2 linked regions of the Danio rerio genome follow. Each later gene encodes a partner of the first gene's protein in a complex. Links are inferred from orthologs where the notes say so. Each region holds a gene or a part of one and is shown on either strand. Other genes may lie near its edges. The genes, in order: nup58 and nup54.

Evidence for each region.
Region 2: the proteins of nup58 (region 1) and nup54 are in contact, whole or in part, in a crystal structure (PDB 4JO7), measured with the Homo sapiens proteins. The link is inferred for Danio rerio from reciprocal best matches to the Homo sapiens genes NUP58 and NUP54. Residues at the interface, in NP_054808.1 of Homo sapiens: Pro342, Tyr345, Phe346, Leu349, Val350, Phe353, Gln356, Leu357, Tyr360, Gln363, Ile364, Leu367, Leu371, Gln374, Ser378, Ile392, Tyr393, Phe396, Leu399, Ala400, Leu403, Ile406, His407, Val410, Lys414, Tyr417, Tyr420, Arg421; in NP_059122.2 of Homo sapiens: Tyr453, Leu459, Glu462, His466, Leu467, Gln469, Gln470, Gln471, Gly473, Leu474, His476, Leu477, Ile478, Ile480, Ile481, Asp484, Leu485, Ile488, Lys489, Leu490, Val491.

The regions. Positions count from the first base shown.
Region 1 is NC_133199.1:28,988,488-28,992,900, forward strand, and holds the start of nup58 (nucleoporin p58/p45), read right to left. Parts: upstream 2,968-4,413; 5' UTR 2,724-2,967; coding exon 2,629-2,723; intron 1,308-2,628; coding exon 1,144-1,307; intron 1,029-1,143; coding exon of another isoform or gene 1,026-1,028; coding exon 996-1,025; intron 1-995. UniProt on the Homo sapiens protein: Component of the nuclear pore complex, a complex required for the trafficking across the nuclear membrane.
Region 2 is NC_133196.1:117,009-120,832, forward strand, and holds part of nup54 (nucleoporin p54), read right to left. Parts: intron 3,312-3,824; coding exon 3,097-3,311; intron 2,927-3,096; coding exon 2,739-2,926; intron 2,025-2,738; coding exon 1,828-2,024; intron 1,709-1,827; coding exon 1,654-1,708; intron 1,579-1,653; coding exon 1,485-1,578; intron 1,397-1,484; coding exon 1,289-1,396; intron 570-1,288; coding exon 450-569; intron 1-449. UniProt on the Homo sapiens protein: Component of the nuclear pore complex, a complex required for the trafficking across the nuclear membrane.

The sequences.
Region 1 (4,413 bases):
GACAAGAGTTTTGAATTGGCTTTCAGATAAGCTGAATTCAGGGCAAAACAAAATCAAAAAGTATTTTATAAATATACATATTTATATAATTATTTAAATATTTACATTTATATAAATATTTATAAATACTTCTCTATTATACCAATAGAAAGACATCAACGGCAGTAAATAACACATAATAGTGTCTTCAAAATATTGGAATTCGTAACGGAAATGTAAAAAAAGTCTATTTTCCTTTAACATTTGGGCTTGTTCTTACAACAACGCTGATTTGCCATTGGGTTCACGAGCTCAACAGAAATGACTGTGATTGGCCGTGAAGGTCATCAGTTCACTAAATTCGCTGTTGTTTACTGAGTGTGACCACAGATACAGGGACACTGAAGAATTTTAAAGCCATAAAGATCGCTCGTATGCCAGCTTAAAACAAACCAGCTGCTATTTGCGGCTTTACACTCAGTGTTTACACTCAGTAAACAGCAATGAGTTCGGTGAACTGATGACCTTTACAGCCGATCATAGTCATTTCTGTTGAGCACAGATAAACACAATGGCAAATCAGCGCTGTTTAAGAATGCGCTCAAATGTGAAAGGGAGGTTTTTTAAATTTCAGTACTGATTGGTATCAAATTACAGTAATACAGTGTGATAACACTAATACATAAAATAAAATCCTAAATCTTATTACCCATTTATGTAATTTGAGACCATGTAAAATAATTATAAATTAGTCCAAACAACTGTTAAAGCATTATAAAACAACAAAACAAGACAAAAGAAAGAATCAGAGTCTAGGAAAACCTGGTTAAGTGAGGTAAAGTCATTTTAAACATGTAAATTCATTAAATCTTAAAACTCTGTTCACATTAAAAAAATGTTCAAAGATGGGATGTCCCATCTTGGTTTCTTGCACCAAATAAAAATTGCAAAAGCTTATAACCATTTGAACTAAACAGGACAATCAAATGAAAGTTAAATTGTTTTTTATTGCTTACCTAACGAAAGGCCACTTGTGGATGCAGCAGCTGCTGAAAATGTTATCAGATGATAAATCAAAAATGAGAATTAACCACAACAATTTTATTATTACTCTATCAAAATGCTAAATTAAGGAGTGTTTTCGACATAAGAGCAGTCAGGAACCTGAGGCAGGTGTACTCAAGCTGAATCCAGTTGTTGGTTTCTGTGCAAATAAACTGGTCCCAAATCCCAATGTGGAGGTGGTACTGGTGGTGGCGGGTGCCGGTGTGGAGGTCTGTGCCCCGAAACCTCCAAATGAGAATCCACCTGTGCCTGCAGCAGGTGTGCTGGAATAGACATTAAAAACATGAAACAAATATATATTACTAAAATTATTATATAACAATACAGAAAAATATCTGAACCTTAAAACAATAAACAATTCACTAACAACACACAAATATACATTTTACACTGCTATTTTCATTTGTAACACTTTTTGAATCTTGTTTAAATACAATATGAACAGCAGCTATGCTAATCATTTTCTTAAGTCTCTATTTCCACCTAAGGATACTAATTTTGAGGCCCCTAGAGATTATGCAGCGTCATTAATGCCATTCAAGACATGTGAAGAGATGATCCCAAGGTATCCATAATCCTGGACCGGGCCATATCCCGAGCTGATGCCATGGATAATGAATGGAGTGCATGAGACTGATCTCTGAAAAACCAGTGAGAAACGAGTTCCCGAATTGATCCTGTGGGGTAGCCTGACCTCCCGCTGGTGTCCTACTCACACCTGCAGCTTCTCCAGTCTCGAGGTCCACACAGGAAGTTTGGCCAAAAGAATAATAGTCATGCCCAATAGGTCCTGGTTTCTCTCAAGGTTCTCTCCCCCCCTCACTTCGTCAATTGGTGAGGTTTTTTTCCTCGCCACTGTGGCCACTGGCTAGCTTGGTTTGAGACTTGTGCTTCGGTGGATTTGCTTCACAGTGTTTGAACTTTCAGCAGTGAAATTTAAACCACACTGAACTAAAATAAACTTAAACTCTGAAAACTGGACATTGCTAGAACTATGTTAAGCTGCTCTGACACAATCTACATTGTAGAAAACACTGTATATAAATAAACATGAATTGATTTTTAAATTGTGGACAATAGTGTGCACTTTTGTCAAACACTGAAAGTGAATTGAATCTTAAATTCTACAAAAAAATGACAATACCAAATTAGGCTTTAATTACCAACACACATTTAGTTAATACTTAGGTAACCATTGAAAGAGCTAAAGTGAAACAAAAAAGCCAGAAATACAACGCAATGTTACGAACCAATAACTTCAGGCTATGATGTTGAGCTAGTTTTTAGACTTATTAAAACAAAACGCAACATTAAACATGTACACATATGCAGCACCTATATAGTAAATAACTGTAGGTTAACTATGTTTATATATAACTTTAACAGTTAAAAGCTATTATTTACTGGTTAATTAGTTAAAGTTAATAGTAACAAATAAAATTATGGTAACTAATAACCTTAACTTTTCTGAATGTAATCGTAATGCAATAATATGCGCTTTTTGTGGAGCTGCTTTGAAACAATAATTATTGTGAAAAGCGTCGACTTGTACAAAAAAAACATTAATTGAATTCGTCCTCATACCTGGTCGCAGCTCCAAATGAAAACCCTCCTCCTCCAGCTGCTGCTGGTGCTCCGGTGGTCCCGAGGGTAGTTGTGCCGAAGTTAAAGCTAGACATTCTGGACTTAAATCTGCAAAACTTGACAATCAGAATCAAGCGGGTGTGACCTCGTGGAGGCCCGAAACACACTGCTTACGACATAAGGTGCAAAATAAAAGCAGCTGCCGCGAAATTCTGGACGGTATGAAGAAAATTTGAACGAACAACTTTAAACGACGAAACAGGGGTCTAATTCAGTGTTTTTAAAATAACTAAAATCCGTTTCAAGGCATTGAAAATATTGCAGCTCAATGCTTTGCGCGCACAATGTCCTCTTCGTCTGTTTCCTCTCTGTAAAATTCAAACATTGTTTGTTCATCCACATTGCCACCTACAGGTTTGGAAGGTCCATGCCATGTTCCAAGTTCACATCTCTCTCTCTCTCTCTCTCTCTCTCTCTCTCTCTCTCTCTCTCTCTCTCTCTCTCTCTCTCTCTCTCATAATTTTTTTTGCCTTTCAAAAACATAATAATTTAGGCCAAACTCAATTCCAACATAATCTTTCACAAACTGACTGAGACATGTCGATGGAGGACGAAACCTGCAAAAACAATAAATCAATAAATACGCAAATATATCAATAAATGAGTAAATAAATCCGGAAATTCCTGCATAAATAAATCAATAAATAAACAAACATGCAAAAAAATGAAAAAATACATGTATAAAATCCACAAATACCTGCATAAATAAATATATTTAATATAAAATAATGAATAGTGCTGACAAGTAAATAATTGCATAAATTACACGAATGTTGGAGGAATAAAAAAGATGCAACAAGTTGATTTATTACCCCCCTTTCAACCTTTATACAGGTCAACATGGTAATGAGAGGCTGTCTGTCATTCATCAGAAGCCAGTAAAAAAAATCAAATGCAAAATTTTTCTAATGATCAACCAATGATGGCATAAAGACCACCTTCTAATGAATGACAGACAGCCTCTCTAAATACTGAATAAAGGTTTTAAAAAAGGGGGTATCAACTTTTCGATATTGCATTTTTTTTATTCCTCCAACATTCGTGTTATTTTATTTTATTATTTACCAGCCCACATTATTATTATTTACATATTTAATCATACAGGAATTTGTGAATTTTATAAAAAGATAAATTTTTTTATTTGCATATTTATTTATTTATCGATTTATTTTAAGTAGGATTTTCTTAATTAATTTTTCTCATTTATTGATATATATGCATATTTATGTATTTATGTATTGCTTTTGCAGGTTTCGTCCACCATACATGTCAGATATACATTAATTTAAATATAAAGCCATCACATAAACAAAACAAACAAACAAACAAACAAACAAAATTTATATTAAATAACTTAACAAAAAAATAATCAACATACTGCGCAGACATCAAACTAAAACTTGGTGAGGGTTTAAATAAAACCATATTCTTGAAACAAATCATACATTATGCCTATTTTATTTTACCCTTCTTACCCTTCATTATTCTGAAAGCGTCAGGTGGCAAACTCCTTTTTAAAGATAATCAACTGAGGAGCTGTTTTCAAAAGTGTGCAACTATGAATGAAGAATTTAATTAAAAGAAGTTAACAATTTGCAGTTAAGTCATCATTTTTGTTGTTCAAATGTAGTCCAAAATTTACAATGTCCCAACAAATAGAAGGAAACATTGAAATATATTGTATCCAGTTGCCTACATCAAACCAGAGAGGATTAATCAAATAAC
Region 2 (3,824 bases), on another chromosome or scaffold:
CTTGATTAAGCTTGAACTGAAGCCTGAGAGTTCCCCTGCCTCAGACCCGGCCGGTGTCCCCGCATGAGCTGCAGAGGAACCGAGTCTGAATCTGCCATCAATAAACCTTCACTAGCCAACAACCAGAGTCTCCCTCTGCAGTGAGCGTCTGACAGCCAGAGTACACACTACAGTGGACACCGCTTTATGTGTGTGTGTGTGTGTGTGTGTGTGTGTGTGTGTGTGTGTGTGTGTGTGTGTGTGTGTGTGTGTGTGTTCACAGCTTTTGCTGCTCATTCGGTTCACTGGCGACATCGTGTGGACAAACTGTGCAGTGCAACCATTTCAAAAATGTGTGTGTGAGTGTTTGTGAGTGTGTGTGTGTGTGTGTTTGTGTGTGTGAGTGTTTGTGAGTGTGTGTGTGTGATCTGAATGCAGTGCTGATGGAGGAAATCCCCTCATGCACACACCTTGAACTGTGTGGGTGCGTTGAGCTCTGATTGGATGGTCTCCAGCTGCACCCGCAGGTGCTCCTCATCCAGCTGCACGGCGTAACCACTCTTCCTCTGCACCTCCTGCCGGATCAACACCTGCAGCGCACACACACACACACACAGAGAGAGAGAGAGGGTGAAGCCTGGTTTATTCTCGATGTGTGCGCTAGTTCTCTTGACTGTGACGTCGTCGCTGTGTTTGCGGAGGTTGGCCTCGGGTGTGTGACGTGATGTCGGTGTGTGGAGCGCGGGGTTATTTTCAGACTGCAGTGAACAGTTCGAGCAGCGGCGTGTTTGATTTGAGTTGAATATGAAACACTCTGAAGTGTTAGTGTGTAACAGAACGCCTGTACACACACCTGTATAATCCCTGATCAGACAGAACCTGAGCATCAGTCGTTCTTGGCCAGAGACTGCAGCAGCCGTGAGAGAGGAGGAAGATGTTGATAAATGTTTATTAAACTTGAGGGATGTTAAAGCCGAAAGAGGCCATGGCAGAAGCGGAGAGCAGATCCGCCATTACTGAATGTGTTCATCCTCCAGTCACAGGCTACACTGATGTGCACGAGACAGTTTACAAGCTAAATCTGTTCAATAGCTACAAAACTGTCATGAAGGAGCAGATGATGCACTGACGACTGGAGATGAACATCTGAGCCGGTCCGGCTACACTACACTGATGTCTGATTCCCCCCGCTTCACTGGTGATCATGGCCAGGAGTGTTGGACTAGTGTTGCCTATTCAGCAGAAGTAGAGCACAGAAACTAGCCAGACAGTCTGTGTGTGTGTGTGTGTGTGTGTGTGTGTGTGGTACCTGCAGCACTCTGTGTGAGAGGTCCATCAGTTTGCGTTTGTACTGTGTGATCTTGGCGGCGGTGGTGGCCTGATTCCTCTGCAGCTCACTGATGTCTGTGGAGATGATCTGAACACACACACACACGTAATGAAACACACACACACACATCAGTGGTAAAACACACACACACACACACTCTCACTCTCTGTCTTACGTCCACTCGTGTCTGGTGCTGTTTGGTCATCTGCTCCTGGATCTTCAGCCGGCGCAGCAGCTCACGGAAGCCCACCATCGGCACCGGAATCAGCCTGAAGAGGAGGAAGAGGAAGAGGATGAAGATCAGAGCAGCAGCATCAGGCATGAGTGAGTGAATCAGCACACACTTCTCTGGGTCTGGATTGTCCACTTTAGCCTGTTCCCAGATGATGGGGTCCACACCTGCGCGCGCACACACACACACACACACACACACACACACACAGTTAGCTGTCTGTTATTCATCAGCAATGTGCATCACAAGTGTGTGTGGCTGTGCTGGAGTCAGTGTGTGTGTGTACCTGCGGGGGGGTTCTGCAGCAGTTGTTTGAGCTGTGCTGGGCTCAGGGCGGTGCGGCTGACGGTCATGATCACGCTCAGCTGCTGCAGTTGTGTTTTGATGTTCACCTGCTCCAGGAAGTTGTAGAGCGTCGACGCCGGCACACGCTTAGAGGAGCCGTTCGGGGAGCGCTCCACCACATAGATGATCACCTCCGTCCTGCACGTGCACACACACACACACACACACAGATGAACAGCGCTCTACAGTACAGTGTGTCAGGGTTCAGAGGTCAGGCAGTGCAGTATGGGGGCTGTAGGGTCAGTGTGAGGCTCTACTGTACTCCTGCTCTCAGGCTCAGCAGAGCTAGCTGATGCTTGTATGAGCTCTAGATGAGATGACTGTAAGGCTCTGCTGCTCCAGCGTCCTCTATTAATAAGCTTCAGTCAGTGAAGCTGCAGCAGACATGTCCTCATCCCCGCGTGTTCTCCTGCTGCACCGGCTGCTGTTCAGTCCAGTATTGATCATCAGATATTGCTGCTTCCCTATAAATCTGTGAATAACCCAGCTCCTGTTCATCTGACCCAGCTTCTGTCTCGCTACAGCCCAACCCGCTCTTCAAGAGCTCTACACTCAGGGCTTCTGAAGAGCAGAGTCCACTAAAGGAGGTCGAGTCTTCTCCTTTATGGCTGACAGACCTGCTGTAGCACACACTCCTCCTGTCCTCATGCAGCAGACACTGTGTCAGAAACTCCCCACTGCTTCACATGTGTGTGTGTGTGTGTGTGTGTGTGTGTGTGTGTGTGTGTGTGTGTGTGTGTGTGTGTGTGTGTGTGTGTGTGTGTCTTTCTATACCTGCTGTCTTCATCCCTGCTCTTCACTTTCATCTGCGATACACTTTAATATGAGTCTGTGTGTGTGTGTGTTACTCACTGGTCGTCCGGCAGCGCGCGCACCCCCTCCACATTGACGGAAAGTGTGTGTGCTCCTCCCAGTAGTTTGTGCAGAGACTCGACCAGCTGCTGCTGCTGCAGACGCACATCTGCCTCACGCTTCCCCAGAGCCAGAGCCAGCAGACCGTCCTCATCACGCACATCTGGAACACAGCTGTAGCCCACCGCCTGCACACACACACACACACACACACACACACACACACACACACACACACAGAGATGAGCACAGAGGGACTACAGAAACACCCTGAAATAATACACACAACACCTTGAATCTGCAGAGGTGTGTGTGTGTGTGTGTGTGTGTGTGTGTGTGTGTGTGTGTGTGCGTGCACCTTGAATCTGCAGAATGGGTTCTCCTGGCTGAACTCTACAGGCGGTGTGGTGCTGCAGTAGTATCCTCTGCCGATCCCCCAGAATGCCTGCAGTTGGTTCCAGCGCGCCAGGATGGAGTCTCGCTCGTCACTGAGGACCGCCGGCGCTGAGAGAGCGCTCGCTGTGTTGAAGAGCTGACTGCACGGGGGCGGAGCCTGCTGGCCGAACACACCACCTGGGTACACACACACACACACACACACACACTTGGTCCACATGTGCTCAGATGTGCATCAGAAGTCGAGTGTCAGTTGTCCTGAAATGAGCTGCAGAGTGCAGAGTGACTGAGCTGACTGCAGCACACGCTGACCTCTGACCTCTGCAGTCGCTCAGTTCAGGAGTCATGTAGCTCAGGGCTTCTCAGCCGCTTCTCTTCAGGGCGCTGCCGTCTCTGATCAGTTTTTGAAGGCCGGTCTGTCTGACATGTGCACTAAAATGTGTGTGAAATGCTTATTTAAACACACACACACACACACACACAGAGTAAACTCTACATGTGCTGAAGCGTGAGGATGTGCTGGTGTTTGAGTCTGATATTGGATGTTATTGTGAGATGTCTGACAGTATCAGTGAGCAGCTCCGCCAGCGCGTCTGAAGCTCATCTGCAGGATTATTCCAGTCAGAAACACACTGAGCCTCGCTGGACCCTCCTGTACGGCCGCTCTTCCCTCAAAGCCGTGTTTCCACT